2 linked regions of the Xenopus tropicalis genome follow. The protein of the gene in region 1 interacts with the protein of each later gene in a biochemical or structural test. Links are inferred from orthologs where the notes say so. Each region holds a gene or a part of one and is shown on either strand. Other genes may lie near its edges. The genes, in order: scn8a and fgf14.

The links.
Region 2: the proteins of scn8a (region 1) and fgf14 form a complex in vitro, tested with the Homo sapiens proteins (2 studies listed by BioGRID). The link is inferred for Xenopus tropicalis from reciprocal best matches to the Homo sapiens genes SCN8A and FGF14.

The regions. Positions count from the first base shown.
Region 1 is NC_030678.2:143,164,505-143,175,237, forward strand, and holds the start of scn8a (sodium channel, voltage gated, type VIII alpha subunit), read right to left. Parts: upstream 5,878-10,733; 5' UTR 5,657-5,877; intron 1-5,656. UniProt on the Homo sapiens protein: Pore-forming subunit of a voltage-gated sodium channel complex assuming opened or closed conformations in response to the voltage difference across membranes and through which sodium ions selectively pass along their electrochemical gradient.
Region 2 is NC_030678.2:119,963,204-119,973,752, forward strand, and holds the start of fgf14 (fibroblast growth factor 14), read left to right. Parts: upstream 1-4,322; coding exon 4,323-4,515; intron 4,516-10,549. UniProt on the Homo sapiens protein: Probably involved in nervous system development and function.

The sequences.
Region 1 (10,733 bases):
TATGACAAAAATACAGGCTTGTGACATATAAACAGAGGGGGCTAGGAAATATATGGATGTTACTTCATGATTGTCTGTGGAAGACAAGATACAAATGATCTTAAAATTAGGAAGGCAGACAAAAGCATATTGAAGGAAGCAACATAGTCTGAAATATAAAGAGTCAGAGGCTTTTCTGCATGGAAACATAAAATGTTGTTGTACTATTATTAAATATTACAAAATACATTCTTATGGAGCAGCTTGTTTTTACCTACATTTTCCCTTTATGCAGATACAACAGACCAACAAATTCTGCTTACATAAAATTAAAAGGAATTTACACCTGCTTTTTTTTGCAAGGTCAGAAAAGAAAACAAATCATAATATAGTAGCAGGAAGAACAGACCTGAGAACAGAGCTGGGAGAAACAATATGTAGTGACACACAGCTGCAAGACAGTCAGCTGGGTGCTGCCCCTAAACCTGCGACAATTTGCTGGTGTGAGACTAAAATATGTTTAGCAAGAACACCTGAAACTACATTTTCAGCTTCAATATCAAAAAATAAATAAAAAATAAAAGTGACCCTCCAGATGATGAGGAGCAACTCAAAGGCCATCAAATGGGAGTTGCAATTCACCAACATATGGAGGGACACAGGCAGGCCAAGATTAACACTGGTCTAAAGTTACATCAAATTAGAGCTTTCAGGCTTCTGACCTAAATGTTGTTCTATCAAAATGGGCGCACAATGCAAGATAGGGGCAACCATTACACATTGTTTATTCATATCATAATAAAGACCTCGGTGTATACCAACAATAATGTTTTTCTAGTGGCAAATTACAAAACCTGTATCCAAACCGCCACCATAGCACACCCTTTATTTTATGTTTCAAGGGCAAGTCCAATAAGACTGATAGGAACTTTGTTTTAATTTTATATACTGTATAACAACATGTATACAGTACTACAGTAGGACACAGTCGCACAGTATAGCCTCAAAAGTGCTTGTGTCAGATGTTATGCCAGTGCACCAAGTCAAACTCTGAAAAAAAAATAGTGGAGGATTTCAGAGGTGAGATTAAGGTTTACACACATAGGTATGAGACCCATTATTTGGAATGTTTAGGGCCTGTTTAAAACTATTTAAACATTAAATAAACCCATTAGGATTGTTTTGTAGCCAATATGGAGCTTAATTACCATCAAGTACAAGGTACTGTTTTATCATTACAGAGAAAAATGAAATCATTAAAAAAAAAAGGATTAGAGATGGCCTGTCTGTAATTCACAGCTTTCTGGATAATGGATTGAATCCCAATTTGGCACTAAGGGTGATATCTTAACCTTAAACTTATACCCTTAGTGTCAAGGTGTAGGGCTCTCCATGAAATGTAAAATAAGTCCCACTGTGACTTTAAATACATTTAATTTCACTTAAATACCAGAAAGAATAAAAATTGTTGAGGACAAGCTCTAGACCTTTTTCAAAGAACTTTAAATTCTTATTTAAGCCATTGGCTTGTTTTTAAGCACTGGCCTATCACTTTATTGCACAAAACTACAAGACACGCCATACTGAAATTCTAATTGCTCAACCTGTATCACCTGAAATGCACTGAAAGGTGTGCGTCTGTACTACCTTTATATAAACCATTCTCATATGAAGGCACACGTTTGCAAAAAGCAATAGTGGGAGAACCATGGATTTACGTGGGAATGCAATTAATTGTCATGTAATGGAACTAAATAGATTGACTCAGGATTACTACTGATGGCTACTGCATGGCTAATGTAGTTGCTTAGCCATTCTGGAAAACTACGCATTATATAGGAATTGTAAAATACCTTTCTCTAAAATATACCTCTCAAACATAAATCAGTACTGAAAAGTAAAGTAATTATTATGGATCATTTTATTTTTACTTGATTTTGCTACCATATCTCTTGATAAGATTTAGAAGGCTGGAATATAGTACATAACAGTGGCAGTACCATGAATTTAGGCAGGTGGCTATCACTAATTGAATTTACAGTATGAGGCAAGAAAACATCTGGAGCTCTACACCCCTATCTGAACCTGGCAATACACATTATAAATCCATAATCCATGGCAAATAAACAGAAATAATCTATTCACTACAATTTGAGATTAGGCTAAACTATTTGACAGGATTTATCTATCCTGCACTCTGGGATATGTTTACTCAGCAGTAAATCATAAATCATCTATTATGTCCATCTATGATCTTAACCCGTATCGGACTGGTCTACTAAGAACCAAAAATTTGAGGTCAGCAAACTAAAGGAACTGTACTCTCAAACCCATTCATCTGAGGCAAGGATTAGCATAATATATCTCACTCTACAGTGTGGCCCGAGCAATCACCAAAAGAGGTCTGATTCATAAAGTATACAAAGAATAGGTAAAAGAACTGAATGAAATGTATGTGTTTTGTTATTTTTATAAGAGAGGTATATTGCTAGATAAACAAATAGCCACTGTGTGAACATAGTATAAGCCTCAGGAGATGCCCATTCAGCACTATGCTCTAAAGTCAGCATCAGGATTGATCTATGGCCATTCACCATGATTAAGTCAAGCAGTCATTATGAGCAGCCCTTTTAGCACTACAAAAAAGGCAAGTAAATAGCAATTATCTATTCACTAATGCAATCTGGGGTAAGCAATGTGCACAAGCTGCTTATTCAGGACTGTGAGCTAAGGCACACTAAAGAAAAAGCACTCATCAGGAGATCTTCATACAGAACTGTGATCTGAATCAGGTATCAGATATTGTTAATTATTTTAACAACTCAGGTACCTCCATACTACCCCTCTGCCAACCAGGGCAGGAAAAAAATTACATTTGAGGCCTTGGGCTAGATATGGCCCTACATTGCATTGATATGTAACCAATTTGGCGGAATTCTATATTCTGATCCATAATTTGTAGTCAGCACCAAGGATGCACATAAGTCACATGGATCTTAAAAGCAAAGACAGGAACCAATTATCAAAACATTTTGAGTACCCCATTTATTAAGACCTGTCCATGTTTATGTTTTCATAAAGAAAACATAAAACCAACAACCTACGACTTGTTAATGCAGCATCTTGATCTAAAGCAGGAATAAGGACAGATCTGTCCAGCCCACAACCTGCGCCCAGCAAGCCTCATAAGCTGCACATTCAACATTGTGCTCTAGAAAGGATCAAGATTTAAAAAAAAAAAAAAAAACATTATAAATCCAACGAGTAGTCCAACAAATAGAACATTTTGTATTAGTAACTCAAAGGAAGCTGTAAAACATATTCAGATCCTCCAAATGGGCCTAACCATCATCAAGAAGTGTCAATTCAGCACTGTAGCCCCAAGGAAGGCAGAATGACTGATCTATTTGGACAAAATGAGGCCAGCATCCCAGCACCATAATGCAAGGCGGGTTTAAGGACTAATCTTACTGCACAGTGCGGAGCGAACAGCAGCAATGAGGAGCTGCCCATTCAGCACCATGATCTCTCCCAAACGGATCTGAGCCAGTAACCCTATGGAGCTGTCCATTCAGCACCATGATCTCTCCCAAACAGATCTGAGGCCAGAAACCCAATGGAGCTGTCCATTCAGCCCCATGATCTCTGCCACATAGATCTGATGCCAGTAACATGATTGCTGCCACATAGATCTGATGCCAATAACCCTATTGAGCTTTCCATTCAGCACCATGATCGCTCCCAAACAGATCTGATGCCAGTAACCCTATGGAGCTGTACATTCAGCACCATGATCGCTCCCAAACAGATCTGATGCCAGTCCTATGGAGTTGTCCATTCAGCACCATGATCGCTGCCACATAGATCTGATGCCAGTAACCCTATTGAGCTGTCCATTCAGCACCATGATCGCTACCAAACAGATCTGATGCCAGAAACCCTATGGAGCTGTACATTCAGCACCACGATCGTTCCAAAACAGATCTGAGGCCAGAAACCCTATGGAGCTGTCCATTCAGCACCATGATCGCTGCCACATAGATCTGATGCCAGTAACCCTATGGAGCTGTCCATTCAGCACCATGAACCGAGGCCGGCATGCGTTACAGTAGCTATCTAGGCAGGAACGCACTTTCTGCACTAAAATAAAGGTGAGAGTTTAATAAATATAGAACCCCTGCAATAGTACGAGCCGCAAAAAGCCGGCTCCAAGTCCATGTTTCAATGAGCTTTGTATAGTAAACTACCAACACAGGTGATCAGGCTTGAACTCTGCGCCAGGGATCCTTTGCCCCTTAACCATCTGTAGAGCAACATTAAAAATAAATAAAAAAAGACTCCCCACATTGGAGGTTTCTGGGAGTCATAGCTGAGCGGGACAGCCCCAGTTAAGCACTAGCACACATGCAGAGAAATAACTGGGATATTTAACATTACAAGCAGCAAGATGTTAGCGCAGTGATATCAATAGTCCAATTCTGAATACTGCAAGATGACCAACCAGCGGCCCTCCAAGTCTACATGCCCCAGCATCCCCCCTTTATAACAAGTGTAGGGTCGCATACAGGACGTCCCTGCAATCATATACTGCATACGGCAAGGCAGAGGGGCTTCCTCAGTGCATTTTCATTGCGGGGCGTAAGGGCCATAGGATTCATTTGAAGAGGAAAAAATTGCTGCAGTGTAGCGGAGCCGGCTCAATCCAACATGCCGAATCAGAATGGAGCCCTACACTGTACAAGCAGCCTCCCGGCACAGTAATCCTTCCATATCATGAATAAATCCCCTTTGCAGAGCAATACGGACTGCAGAGCATGCAGAAATACCCACCTACCACACCCGCATTCCTCCAAACTCAGATACAGCTTTAAGAACATGACTGGGGAGGGGGTGCAAGGGTCCTCATTCCCTAAAGTGGGACACGGTAGGCAGGGGGCACCCCCAGTCAGGACGGTATATAGAGCCGATCGCAGCCCCATAACCCTTGGCCATACGTTTCAATGTAGAGCTGGCAGCAGCCAAGGGAGGGGCTGGGACGGAAAGTGATGACACCTTGGGATTGTGTAGAACCGCACTGTGCTGCTGGGGGAGAGAAGTGCGTGCAGATTGGCCCCAGGAGTAAGTTAGAGGGTGAGGAGGGGGTCACTGTTACTGTACATACAGCAAAGGTCGGCCATACACCGTGCGCAGGTAAGGCAATGAGGCACTCACAACCTGCGGCCCTCCTGCTCAAACTACACATAATAGCATCTGTGCCTCGCAGAGGAGCCTGGGAGCTGTAGTGTAAGCATTAATGAAAGGTCGAAAGTTGGTGTCCCCTAACCCAATTCATCTCTTCCCGGGGCCCCTGCACCACTCAGGCATCAACCAACTAGCAAAGAGTTATAGGGGGACCGGGCACATGCTCTGCCTTTGCCTCACTGTGGGGCTAGTGACACGGCTCCCCCTAGCCCACTGCACCCGGGAGCGGAGGGACAAACATGCCTCTGCGGCAAACACCCGTTGGAGCAGCCGGATCTCCAGAACCCTACCCCCCCCCCCATCCCGGGCCCACGGCACCAGCATTCACTCCATCTCTCAAATCTGTGCAATAATCCTGGCAGCAAATGCTATCCCGGACACACGTTCGGCGTCAGACTGCGTCTTTGTAGCCGCTTTCTGTCACCCGCGCACTTACTTGGCCGCAGCTCTAGAGCGAGTCCCCGCAGGCGCCGCCGGACTGCAGAGGTGGGGAGGCTGCAGCAGGAGGAACTGCGCCCGTCGCCATGCTGCCTGCTGCTGCTGCTGCTACATTCTACAGGGAGAGAAGGACCTCTGATGACATCACTCGGTCACGTGAGCGCACTGTGAGTGGGAGGAGCCGCGGAGATGCGGGAAGGCAGGGAAGGAAGCGGGCGGTGGGACGGTGGGACGGTGTGGCGGTGGGGAGACAAGTTTATGAGTGCGGCGGGGGGCGCATGCGTGCCTCCTAATTGCCTCGGTTACTCACGGCCGGGGTGCTGTGCGTGTGAGGAGCTGGGAAGTCCCGACCCTCATTCCTGAGGAGACTCAATTGTCTTACTATCTTCCCGGGGGAATTTGTGTCCTTGGCAATGTCCCAGGTGCGCAAAAATGGCCAACAAACAGCGTTGTAACTGCAAGTTATTGGGTCCTGCAGCAGAGTAACGGAAGGGATGGCATTGGCATGGCGACCTGCTTCACTGGCAGCTATTGCTACCGGGCTGAGCCTCACTGGGCTCCATACTCGGTCCTCATACACTCACCAGTCAGGGCAATAACAAACATAGTCACTTGGCAGGGGAAAGGGGAAATCGTGTTTCAGGCAGCAAAATGTCCCCAAGGAAAACTTGCCTGGGTTCATAGGGGTGTGTGTAATGTTGGGGGCTGCACAGTGTCTGGCAGGGCTGCCTAATACAATGGAGACAAAGGGTGACATGCAGTTCAGGTAGCACAATGCTGCTGTTTGTGCTGTATTGGCTCACCATTGGTACCTTACATGGCACACTTTGCCCCTTGAGCCACTCACCAGCCAAGCATCAATGTACTTCAAGATACTGTTAAGTTCATCTCAACTATATCACTGGGCTACAAACCCACATGTATACAAGGCCTGTCTTCAAATAAATAGTGCCCCTGAAAATTGTTATAGTTAACATTCCTTGACAGTAAGCCAAGCCATTGGATATAACTTGTTTTTCTCGAATACCAACACACTGATACATGGTAAGGTTTTCTAAAAAGTAATTAGATGGAAAGTCTGGCACCTCTCTCCCTTGTGGCTCCTATTGTTTACACATAGGCCTGGAACATACCATTATCACTGAAAGGCTTTCCTGTATATATGGACTAGTCCTGGGACTGAGGGCACAGTTATTGACTTTAGAATTCAAAAGAAGAAATTAATAAATGGACATTCTCTGGCCCCCTGTTTTTCTAGTAATTTAGCATACATTTAAAAAAGTGGGGGTTTTAGTTACAAAGTGATGATCAAACAATTACCAAGTCACCACACCATACCAAGGTAAACTCCATATGGTAGTCCCTCCAGTCATATTTTTTATAGGCTGGAACCTTCTTGCAGAGTTACATTTCTTAGGAAAAGTGTCTCTTGTTGAAAAGTATTGGTGTTACAAGCTGTTCCTTACTGAGAAATATCCAAGACAAAAGCCCTTTTTTAAATCACAAAACAACCAATAAAGGATTGGGTGGGGGGTGCTACAACCAAATGGCTGTAATAAAATTGGCCTGATCAATCACACTTCCTTTATACTCGACTTTTATTTTACTTAGCCTTGGAATGCTCCCACTACTCTCCTTTGTGACACCTTAGAATTCTACAGACTGGACTATATTACTGATGTTAGATCCTGTTATAACAGTGCAGTCAAATTTAATATAATGGGATGATGTAATACTACATGCTGGGGACAAATTATAATAAAATGATGGCACCCAAAGGATTTAGGAGCTCCTAAGGCCATACAAAATATTCTGGATGGCCACATCTGGGCTGGGACCAGTTAGATAGCCCTAACCCAGGATTAAGGTTAGTAAGGTGTTAGCATCAGCAGGTAGGTAGTGTGGACAAAAAAAAAAAAAAGGTTAGCTCCCTGTGACTGGAGAAAGTGCCACAGCACTTGGGTTGATCAGGAATCCCAAGGAGATAACAGAGGAAACACTTTGCATTTGCAATACCATGTAAGAATATCTGCATGAATGTTTTCTTTAAAGCTCTTTATTTATTTAAAATAAAAACTGGAAGAGAGAGGGAGTGAAAGAAATGTAAATGGGTAGAAGCCTAAGCCAGGAGTGGACACAGTAATAATACGGGAACCAAGCTCATTTAGGATACAACACAAAAACAACAGAACATTAAGTTTGGAGCCACCATATCTTTCTTTACAAACCAAGTCCCTTGGACTTCTGTGTAACCTATTTGAACAGCCTCTGTATTTTTAGCAATTATGGGATTTTGGTAAATCATGTTCCCCTTCATTTCATGTATTAAGAGGTAGCTGCATAATGTATTCATGTAGAACCCTTTCCTCCTCAGTCTAGGATTCACATAAATAAAGACAAGGTTCAGACTGCGGATTTCACTACAAAGTCATCTATGTTCTTATTCAAGGGCAGCTGTGCTTTGTCTAATGGAAATATTAAGGGGCAACTGTAAAATTGTATTTATTTGTTTTCTTTTTAGTTACTGACCCAGCATCTAACTTCATCTAAGTAACCACTTTCCTTATACTATAGCTACATCCTTTCTTAGGGTAATGGAATACAGGACTATTATAGGCCCCTTTGGCACTGCAATCTTTGGTAGCCCAGAAATGCAGCTTAATGCAGAATTGCTACTAACACCTGTCAGACAATTTTCATTAAAGTTTATGTCGGACGGCCACTAAAAAAAACACAGCACCCAAATTAGCCCCTTGTGCCAATTTAGTTGCATGTTTCTGTACTATCTCCAGTTAATATCCTTCTTCTGGACTGAAGCCCAAAACTGCATGGCATACTCAAGTTAAGGCCTTACCAGAGACCTTTAAAGGAACAGTAACACCAAAAAATAAAAGTGTATCAAAGTAATTAATATATTATATACTATTGCCCTGTACAGGTAAAAGCTGTGTGTTTTCATCAAAAAGACTGCTATTATTTATAATGTAGCCATGGGGGTAGCTATTCAAATAAAGAAAAGGAGAAAAGGCACAGGTTACATGGCAGGTAACAAACAAGCTCTGCAGAGCGTATTTGTTATCTGCTATTTAACCTGTGCCTTTTCTCCCTTTTTCCATCTTAAATGACTGCCCTGTGGCTACACAGCAGCTTATTTATACAAACTACAGAAATCTTGTTGAAGCAAACACAAAACATTTACAATTGCAGGGCAATAGTACATTATATTTGAATTACTTTAAAAAAAAAATGTTTTTTTTATGTTACTGTTCCTTTAAAAAGGCAAAAATGATGTTTCCATCTTTTAAGTTAATGCCCTTTTTTAAGCAAGACAGAACTCTATTTGCTTTAAATGCCACTGAGTGACTATGACTACAGTTACAAAGTTTGCTTTCTACAAAAATTCTTTTTTTAATTAAGGAGGCCCCTCAACACAGTACCGTTGTGTAACTAGCATGTATGTTATTTCTACTAAAGTTTACTGCCCCGTTCTTCCATTTAGTCAAATCTCTTTGCAACGTGGCAGCATCCTGCATGGAACTTATAGTTTTGCACAATGTAGTACCATCAGCAAAAATTCAGTACTTACAGTTCTTACAATGCCCACCTCAAAGTCATTAATAAACAAGTTAAAAAGCAAAGGGCCAAGGAGAGAGCCCTGTGGTATTCCACTAACAACACTGGTCTAATTAGAAAATGCTCTTTTTAGCCTACAGTCAGATCTCTATCCAAGTATAAGTATTATTTCCAGACCAGTATTCCTTAATTTAATTAGTTACCTGTGTGGCATTGTATCAAATGCTTTACCAAAATCTAAGTAGATCACACGCACTCCAATCCCAGAGTCTATGTTCCTGCTTTCCTCCTTATAAAAGGCAATTAAATTAGTCTGGCAAGATCCATTACACATAAAACAATGCTGGCACAAACTCATAGTATTGTGATTTGCAATGTATTCAAGCATCCTGTCCCTTATTACCCCTTCAAAAAGCTTTCCTACAAATGATGTCAGACTAACAGGCCAGTTGTTTTCAGGATGAGTGCAGGAACCTATTTTGAAAAATAGCACCACATTAACAATTTGCCAATTTCTCGGCACCATGCCAGACTATTGGTTTACTTTTGGTTTAGTAACATATAGCAGCCAATCAGAAGGTACCACTTAGTGGTTAGTTGTTTGAAATCCAGAACCTGATTATTTGTAATGGTTATGTTATTTTTATTACAATACATTAATAAATAGGAACAGTTTGATAAATGCGGTTATTTGATCATAGGTGATATTGTCCCTTTAGACATGGCACTGTACTGTGCAACTACTCCAATATTTTTATTGGCAGGTACAAGTAAATAGTAAAAAAAAATTAATATTATTAATATTTATTAAGAAAGAATGGGTGGAACCATTATTATCAGAGGGAGGTTAGTTGGTTGATGAGCACAGGGAAAATAAATATTTTTTATCTGTCTATTCAAATGGAGAACCAGCTAATAAAGACTGCCCTCTTATTAGACCCAGTTCTAGTCATATAGCTACTGACACATTGGTCAGTAGAAAATTCAAAATAGACTTGAACATATAAAGGTAAACAAAGGTCCAGATGGTAAATGAAACATTTTCTAAAAGGACCAATGTTGTTAGTGGAGTACCACAGGGATCTGTCCTTGGTGCTTTGCTTTTAACTTGTTAATTAATGACCTGGAGAAAGTACTGTTTCTAGTTTTGCTGATGATACTAAATTGTACAAAACTATAAGTTCCATGCAGGATGCTGCCGCTTTGAATACAGATTTGTCTATATTGGAAAATTGGGCAGCAAACTGGCAACTGAGGTTCAGTGTTGATAAGTGGAAGGTTATGGACTTTGGTAGAAAGCAATAAAAAAATATATATATCTCTGCACGGACTCACCACTTCCTATATGCTTTCACGGTATCCAGGGAAGAAACTAGAGATAGGTGCTGGCCATATTCATGCAGTGCTCCACTACTATAGCACCAAAAAAGGGGAAAAGTCTTTTATTCAATTAAATATAAAAACATGAATTGCTTCTGCTTCTGAGAAGCAGACAACCTAAT
Region 2 (10,549 bases), about 23 Mb from region 1:
AAAGTAATTGTCTACCTCACCTCTATGCCTAAGGCATAGAGACAGGGCAGGCAATATATGACTGACAGCTGGGATTTTTAAATGTATTTATAATGGATTTGGATGTGTTAATATAAAAATGAATTTAGGTTTTATGTTTAATTTTAAAATGACTTTTATTATACAGATTTTTATGTCTGGGTGACAGGTCCCCTTTAAAAGAGGTTGTGAACACTTCACAATTAGCAAAGCAGCATTAGTCAAGCTGTTAAAATCACCATGACAAGCGTTATCACACACAGTTTTTTTTTCTTCTTCAGCCTTAGAATCCAACTCCCACATACAGACCATTATGTAAGTGAAATTAGGAAGGAAGCTGGGAAGTAGTGCATAATTTACCACAGTGCTCATGTTAATATAAAATGCTATCCAAGTAGAAAATAACACCATAACACTCAGAACAGGTAGATAACATAGCAACTTGTCAAATTAATCATTTCCTGAAGTAATTTAACTCTCACTGAGCCAAAATGAAGCCAATTGTGTTCATTAGTAACTGATATCTAGCCCCTTCTTTTTTCACTGGTTACAGAGCCCCTTGATAGCCCTAAAGTGCTGGCATCCTAGCAAATGTCTTCTATATCTGTGATGCCTAGGTCTTGTAAGGTCAACCATTCTTAATTATTAGGTTTTAGCTGGCACGATACACCCGACTGCACAACATGCTCTTACACAGTCCTCAGTTGTTTCTCTCACCACTAGCTCATAATTCTTATTGGAACATATCACTCCTACTTACCCTATATTCTAAATCCACAAACTCTCCAGCTATTTCATGTTCTCTGTTTTTCTGCCTAGCAACTGGCCATAAGTTCTGCCCAGGGCAAAAACAAGGACAGTGCTAAAGAGGTTGCTATCCACCTTTATACACATGTTCAGCAATTCTTACATTCCTTGAGGGGAAAAAAAAATAAAAAACAATAAAATATATATCACATTTGGGCATAATAGAAAGAATTATGTTTCTATGCTTGTATATTGCTTGCTTTATATGCAATTTTATATGCATGAACTCTCCATGGCAGAATGTTTCTGCTATCAGCTTATAATGCAGATTTCTGTTTAACAGCTTTGCCTTACCAATAACAATTCTTACACAGATGGAGTTCCTGTTACATAACCTTTTAAAACACAGAGATGGCGCATATCTGACAAAATGCAACATGTGCTGATTTGGGTACTATATTATTTCAAGAACAGCAATGGCATTTTGACATACAAGCAACTGTAATTAATTTGATTATTGTTCTTAAAAGTATAATTATTATTTGAAATATTTTATTCCGTGATGCTGGTTATTCTTCCTGGCTTACCATTCCTCTCTTAATGGGTAGTGCAAGTAAATGGGCATTATTTACCCATAATAGTCTTCTTCAAGGAGACCTTCTGCACATTCTGTTCAAGGATGTGAGGTATCCTAATGCTTTTTAACATTTAGTAGATTTAGCATGTAAACCTATTAATTATATGACTACCCTCATTTTAAAATTATAGTAGTATATCAACAGGAAATTAGCAATTATATGTAAGTATTTAGCTTCAAAAAAATCCAATATGCTGTTAATTTCTTTACGCTTGTGCACTCTGAAATAAATATGCCATTTATGTAGTTGTTGTAGTATACATTAAAACAGCAGATGGCTCTCTTGAGTTTCCTTTGAAAAATAATAGCGTTTACCAGAATCACAAACTGTAGAAGCAAAAATGTAAATCTAACCATCCAGTTTTAATTCCAAGCCTTTATTTGCAACAGTTACAGAAATAGGTGATTCCATTTTGCAGCAGTGTGTGTGTGTGTGTGTGTGTGTACGTACACTAATATACACAAACACATTTGTTAATCAAAGCTATATTTAATTCAATCCCATAGATTAAGAAGGTAGGACTCTTTATATAATTTCTTATGTGTTCATGGCAGTTAAATGTAATTAACATCTGCAGTGTTTGAAACTGGGGTTAAGTGCAAATCTGTCTAAATGAACTGTCCTTGGTGCTGAATGGGTTTAAGGCTTCAAATATGCAGAATATTCTTCAAACACCCTAAGGTATTGACACTGTCTTCAACTAGGAATACAGAACAGGATTCATTAAATTGTACTGTTAATCTCCAGATTTACGGTCATTTTGTAAGCATGCAATTTAAAATAGATTATGATGTGTCAAGCCAACTGGTTTTAAAAATGAAAAATCTAGGGAAACAAGCTCTAATTGAGCACAGCTCCCAGCCCTCCATTAGGGCAGCTATTCTCTATAAGATCTTTTACATTTAGCCAGGCTGCTCTACTTTCCCCTGATCCTAAATCATTATTAAAATCTATTCAGCCCAGCAGTGCTTTGTACACACAAATTCCACCTGAAAGGGAGTTGACTGGCTTGGAAATAATCAATAATGTCTTCTTTATGTGGCTTTGTGAACCTAACAGGATGGAGCTTTTGAGTGCTTACAGATGAAAGGGGAAAAGTTTTGTATTTGATTTTGGAGTTTTGGCATTTGTTTACATTTGACAATTCAACCTGTGTGCTGTGTGGGAGAACTCGGAGTGCACAAGATATTCACACAGTAGGTGTTTATTTCACAGCACTCCAAGCTACTCCTTTTTATCACTCTGTTTATCATTTGTATCCATCCAAGCAGAAAGCTGGCTTTTTTCATTTGTTCGACTAAGCTTCCTCTCTTTGCTATGGCACCTCAGTTAGTCACACGTTTTTCACAGTGAAACATGTAAATAGGACAAGAAAAGCAAAGGAGAAAACTCTTCTTCTGAAACTGTATCCAGACTGATGAAGAGCTGTTAGAGCAAAAATGTTTGTGTCGGTCATTTTTCATATTTATGCTCTCAAAGCAAACCCCATTGTGTGTGTGGCAGTGTTCGATAGAGATGTCTAAGAATGTCACTCCTGTGAATTTGATTTGCTAAAGCTGCTAGGGATGATCTGTCTGTAGCTGTCAGATGCTTCCTCTGTTTTTACCTTTTCTTTAAAACAAGCTAGTCTTCTCTTTGTTATGCATGAGTTTTTTGCCAGTGGCATCCTCACACGGTATCATTCTAATGCTGTGTTGATGTCTTTCAGCTTAGTGCCGTGCATCCTGTGCTGCACATATTTCTCACATCGGCACATTGTCAGCACAAAGAGAGTGACTATCTCTAATACACCAGGAGGGCTAAACTGATAACTTTTATATGGTCAGTGCTTTTAGCAATTCAATACATAGGAGGCAGTTTGTTTGCTGGAAGAATTAGCTTACCTATTTTTCGGCAAGATGTAAAAGCAATCCAGCCAGAAGATTGCAGTTAAGCATGCTTAATTTCTAGGGAGAGAGGCATTACAATCAAGGACACCAACTGAGCAAGAGGCTTGGATCTGCTAGAAACTAGCAATTTCTCAAGAAAATTGCACAAAGCTGTGTTGCTTTTTCATTCCTGCTATTTTTTTTAAGGGGTGGAGAGAAGGGGGGGAGAAATGATTTGATTAGAGAATGAGCAGGAAAGAAGATTGCCTCCTGATGCTGATTTCACATGCAGTGCTTCTTGGTGCCTGAAATCAGAGAGGATCGCGAAGCATGGTCTTGCGGAGATACACAGAGGCAGCAGTTCAAGGCTGTTGATTCAGATGCTTAAGCCTTCGTTTACCTGCTACCCATTGCCATGCTAATTCAAAAGGGAAGCCTGCCTCCCCATTCTTTCCTCCTCCTCCTCTTATTCCTTCCTCCTCTCTTTAACCATCTTCTTCATCCTGCTTTTTCAGCTCACTTGAAATAGGGAAGCAGGCATTGTCTGGTGTGTGGGTGGCACTGAGGAGACCAGCTAAGCCCACCCCCATCTCTCTGAGCTTTGCACTACCAACAAGCATAGATGCCAGTTTCTTCAGCGGAAGAGGTGAGAGAAAGCTGCTAACGAAGTTCTGTTTGGAACATACCAATATTTTTGCTTTATTCCTATTATTTAAATATATGTATGTATAAATACATATACATACATATACTGTACTTTTGCTCAACTTGTATATTTACTTCTCCTTCTAAAGGAAAGTAACTCTGGGTTGGCACAGTTTCTTTTCTCCCACTTCACCACTGGTTGTATAAAGTGATCTGACAAAGGGAGCAGAGAGATGTCCAGCTGTCTTCAGAGGGGCTGAGCCCCTTTTTTTTTTGCTCTTTGTAGCTCCAACAGACTGATCATCTGGGTTCTATCTAAAAACTTGGTGGGGTGTCCCACCACGACTTTCTGCTAGCCCCTCCCTCTCGGAGCTTCCCAGCCCGATAAGCGTGTACGGGAGGTGGCATGGCAGCAGCTATCGCAAGTGGACTGATCCGACAAAAGCGACAGGCACGGGAGCAGCACTTGGACCGTCCCTCCGCTAGCAAGAGGCGCAGCAGCCCTAGTAAAAATCGAGGCCTTTGTAATGGGAACCTGGTGGATATTTTCTCCAAAGTGCGAATCTTTGGCCTCAGAAAAAGAAGGCTGAGACGGCAAGGTCGGTTGGTCTGTGTCTGTCAGCTGTTTTCATGATTACATTATGTTTTTTCCTTCTCTTGGATTCTGTGCACCCAATGGCAGAATGTGTGCGCTCATCCTTCTTAATCCGTAGTGTGTCTCTTTACCCTTTGTTGTGTAGTTCTGTTTATATCCTGATGTATATTTCTGTAATATGTTTCAACACAAAATCCATTTTCCACTGATCAATGTGATGGGTTGTTGTTGTCCGTCTTTCCAACTTAATTGCAAATCTAGTATTCGTGAAGATTAATTTTATACTGTAAATCAGCCTTTTAGCCTGTATTAGATTACACATCCAGTGCCAGGGTTATTGGCACTAAAGTCTAAAGAACTAGCAAGCAGTTTATGACTTGCATTGTAGTATTTAACTTTCTGTCTATGTGCATTCATTTGTGGCTCGCTCATTTACTTCAGTCAGGTCCCCAAAATGTATGTTTGTTTATCTTTGTTTCTCTTGATTCAGTCTGATGGGGTTGGGGGCAGGAGTTAAATAAAATATCTTATACAATAACTTGTTAATAAAACAGTAGAACAGAAGAGAAGGCATATAATTTGACTTTAATTCCAGACTAACTATATTAGTAGCTATGAAACGTATGTATATACCTGATATACATTTATATACAGTTTGCATAACAAGTCTTTATATGTCACAATTTATGAAACTTTATAGCACTTCATGAGAACCACTCATTCAGTGAACTGCTGTAGCATTTAAGACTCTGTATAACAATTACAGTGACAAACCTGTGGAAGTACAGTGTCTGTACCTGTATTAATGTTAGACAGCTGTATTAATGAATATGAATGAGCTTTATCAGGACCACTGTGTTCTGACTTACTCCACAGGAGTTCTGATTTTCAGTCGTGAACAGCTCTGATAAATGCATACATTAAACGCACAGTATACCAAAGAGGATCTGTACAATAAGCCCCTTACAAGTAGGTTCAGGTAAATATTGAATTAGGTTTTTCACTCAATAATCCTTTTTTTTTTTTTAAATAATTAAAAGCACCAGCTTTCACTTTGACATTTAAGAGTTAAAGCAGGTTTAGATGCATAAATCTTTTAAATTACTAATGTAAAGAATCATTAACCATGAGATTAAACAAATAATAAATTGTTCATCCTTGCTTAATTTATGACTATCCCCAACGTAGGAGTGAAGCCATTTGGAAATATTGTGAAAAAAGGACTGTTTCATGTGTCTGATTCACAAGAAATGCTCACAGTAGGGTTGGTAGGGATACTTAACCCCATCACTGACATCTTCTGTATGTCTCATAAAAAAATTAATTATTTCCAGCTGAAAAACCTGCAGTACATCTAAAAAATACAGCACCTAATCTTAGACAAGGTTAACAGGTTGCATTTACCGAGAACCATTTATGGTGTGAAGATCTTCTAGTCTAAAGTATATTTTTCATAGCATACTCCGCTTTTGTACTGTAGTTTTAGTATTTCAAAATAATGTACTGTTTTCTTGTGTGCAATGATATATGTTTATCATTATCATAAATATTTTTTTGTAAAGGACACCTAGAAAATATATGGTACTACAGATAACACTACATCCAAATATGTTAATGTATTGTAAGCCAAGGTTATTTAGGATTTTCTTTGGTGCCTGATGTAATAAAAGAATTACAGGTGTGCTAATAAGATAAAACAAATGGTAGCAGTCAGGGAATATATATAAGCCATAATTATATGCTGGATCACACTCAAGAAATGATCCTGTTACCCTAGAGACTTGTAGGCAGCACCAATGAGTTGCCCATGTTTATGGGTTACTGTGGATTCTTTTTTCCTTATAGCTTTGGGGGAAAAGCAGAACATGGAGTTTATTAAATCTAGTACAGCTCTACAAAGTTAATAAATCTCCTCTAACTAATGCTTTCATTTTAAGAGGCACAAAGTATGAAGAATTATCCTGTGAAAGATTTGACAGGTTTGATTGTATCTGCTGATGTGTATAAAATAAGCTTAGAAGTGTGGAGATCTTGTTACCTGGAGTATGGCACGGGATGAGCCTTCAGTCCTGCCATTCATTTTACTCTGCTATATGCTATGTTTGCATAAATGGAAATCACCTAGTTTGGATTTATTCTTAATGCTGGTGTCAACAGTGAGGAAGAGAAAGGTGATGCACAGTAAACCGTGCCAGTGCATATTTGCACCAAGGGTGTATGTTTATTCATGATTTTTTCCCTTATTCCTTATTGATGTAGGATTAATCTTACCTTCCTTTGTAAATATCTGTGTCAGGAATACAAAGCTGTATGTGTTTACCTTAAAAAAAAAATACACAAATAAAAGCACCATTATAAGAAATTGATCTTTGTACTGTTACTGATGGTAGAAGAAGGAACATGGAAGCAGGTCATTATGACCTAAATACAACTTTGCAGATTTTGTATGAGATATTTCATGGCCACTTACCTATAAGGAGAAAGCGTGTATAGGTCTTGGGTTAAACTTTCAGCATTTGTTTCTGAATTACAACATCCAGCCTAGGTCAGAGCATGCTGGGAAATGTAGTTCACAATCATTTTAGGTGAGTGACATACCTACTTTTATCATTACTGTCTTTAATAGACTGGGTCAGACATACAACTGCACACTGGTAGCCATATCGCTGCTACAGGTGTCCTCCTTCTTTGGTTTCTAATGTTCCTCTTGGTGCGCAGTTATTATAGATACATTACTAAGCCTAGCAGACCCTACAGAATATAGGGTTGTACAGAAAAATAACAGTGTGCTTATTTAAACTGAGTGTTATAGGTATTATGACTTGTTAACAGCTCTTAATGAAAGGCCGGTAATAATCAGTGTCATTTGCAGTGAAAAGAAATATCCATTGGCTGCCATATACACCCAGTAGTCTGCAGTGTACACCCAGTAGTTTGTATTTTTCATTGATGTTGAATGTGAATTTTGCAACATGATAACTGCAAATTTCTGGCTGTTATTATATATATTTAGGCTGAAAACCTCCTCACAGACCACTGTTTAAAGTAAATGTACTTAAGAAAGACCTGGGTAAAAAATAAAGACAAATAATAAAAGGATTATAATGAGAAAGCTGAGTTCCAAAATGCGATTATTGGCATTGTTATTTATTTACTTCTTGGGACCATTCTAACAGCCAAACATTTGATTCTCTCCTTTTTAGCCTCATTAATAATACACATTCTCCACCAACCCTCAGTCTACTATTATTATAGCCCTGCTGCCTTACTTGACATTTTCAATAAAAAAAATAAAACAGTAGTAATTTGAAAGTTAACAAAGTATTTACTGTTTTACAGTGGCACATCTAGGGCTGCTACCTGAGGCACCAGCGCCGTTACCACCTCCCGCCCCCCACCCCATTCTGCGCTTACTGCGTCTACCACTTACCTTGCTATTGCGCTCTCTGCACTTAGATACAAATTATCATTTTGAAACTTGAAAATGTAGCTCTTAAAGTTACCAGACGTGGCTTTTTTCTGCCCCATGTAACTGCCCCCTCATTGCCAAATGACAGGAGTTTGCTTTGTACAAACATCATTTAATGGAAGACTTGCCCTTTGGGTTACTAGTCATAACTACACCTGAGATTCTCCTGCTCGTAAAGCCACAACACAAGAATCACTGAAGCTTACCTGTTACACCATGAGCAGCATAGGCAGTTCTTAATTCTCACTCGCAGGCACTCCAAGCTATATACACATATAATATTTGCATGTAAGATTGTTTTAATCTATTATACTGATCCATGTTTCAGTACTCATGCAGCTATAGGCATACACCTGTTATAGTAAAATTCTGACTTACTGGAACTAAAAATTACTACATGGCCACTAAGTGCCTATCTCTGGTTTAGGGACATGAATATTAATGAAAATAAATAGTATTCAGAGACTATAATGTAGGCCAGATATGTTAACATGAAGCGATCTGTGATCTGCAATTTCCAGCTTCCAATTGGAAGGTGCATCTGTAAGCAGTTTATTGGAAATGTGGGTGATGTTGGTTGGCTTATTCAGGCTAGATAACTCATACATTTTCAGCAGATCCATAACCTAAAACCCCTGCTTCATGAAAAGTGAGTCAATCAAATAACTGAAATAGACTGACTGATTCACATGTGTTCAAACAGTGATATCCTTAAGCCATGGAATTATTTACAGGAAGCTGTGATAAAGTGATTCTCAGGGAACATGCTGTTATTGCACTGAGCAAAAACATCAGAAACTTTTAGAAAAAAATCCACCCCTTTGTAACTGAATTTTTAAATGTGCTCATAAACATATCTGCTCAATAGTAAAGCACTTATCAAAGAAACCCATTGCCAGGACATTTGTTGTCAAGTGTAAAAATAAAAAAAAAAATCGATAAAATTAGAAATTCAGATGACTCTATGGAAATGTTTCTATTGAAGGTATACTTCAGCTTGCACTACAGCTGGCCATTGTACGCTATATCTGTCATTATCCCCCAAAGCCTATTGAAGGATCCAGTGGAAACTGATTTGAAGCACCACCGACATCTAGGTTAAGAACCCTCCTACCTACTATTTGCGATTGTACTGATTAATATTTAAATCTAGTATGTAACAATAAATATTTATTCTGTGACTCCACTCATCATTTCATACACATATCTGTGACAAAAACATGTGTATGTAGGTAGGTAAATATGTGTATATCTGTGTACTGTATACAGCCATAAATATCCTGATATGTTATAATATGTGTTAAGTCATTTGTGTCACAACTCACTCATATTTGTTTAAAAAAATTAATGTAACACAATGTAAATGTTGCAAAATATGTCTGGAGTTCTGTGACATGAATACAATCACTTAGCCTGTGACATTGTGCCTTAATATGGTCATGGGACTTATCAGATTTCTAATTTGCTTTTATTTAGAATTGGGGTAACATTATACTCTATATATTATTTTCTAGTTGAGCTTTGTCTGGGAAATTTAATAATACATAACTAAAATAACAGAAAAAGCACTCTGCATTGTAAGGAATTTTTGCTGTAATAAAACTGATAAATCATTTCCAACAACTTATTTACCACACAAAGTCAACTAGTTTCTAGGGTAATGCTGGCACCCTCATGTGCGAGAATAATGGTGCAATTTTACAGCATTAAATATGGCTACTGGACTTCGTAAAAATGGGTTGCCACCTGCTAGGGCCAGGGCCAGTATTACAAAAGTATCAGTAATTACAGTGTTACATTGGTAATTCCCCCTATTTCCCAAGTTTTTCCCCCTGCAGCACTTACTTTTAACCACAAAGACCCTCTGTATGACCAGAAACTCCCCATGGACCCAACATGCACATTTGCTGCTCCCGACAAGCCCATTTTCTGTCGTAAAAGGAGCACCAGCCTAGGGAAAAAACATAGCGACTGGATTCACTGGGGGTGCCAAAATGTTGAATCCACATTTTCTTGTCCATTAAGTACTGGGCTCCCCTACATCTTATCCCATACTGTGCAGAACATTTTCCCAGGTTTAAATGCTGAGTACATGAGCCCTCAGGCTCACAATTTGGTGTGGTCTGTTGGTATATCCCTGTATGTATCATATGTAACAGAAATATAATAATAATATATTACATTATATGTTTATTAATCCCCCTATAAGCCCTTCATACATTATTATTTCTTCATAATTAACCCTGCCCACATAAGCCAACACTGAATCAAAGATATGCAGGCAATATTTTCAATAACTTGATGGAATATATTGAGAAACAGTCACTGTATGTGTCATTTAAATTGGGGTTGATATGAATATTGTATTGTCATGTCCACATTGCCTCCTATTCTCCTTATTCCTGTATTGTATATAAGTGATGCAGCTACTGTAAATAAATGTAGTATACAGTATATCATTTTAAAAACCATCATTCTTTAAATGTGGATTTCATTTAATCTACATGAGATTTATTGAGTAAAAGTTCTGATCTCAGTCAGATACAATTTTTTTAATATTCCAAGAAAC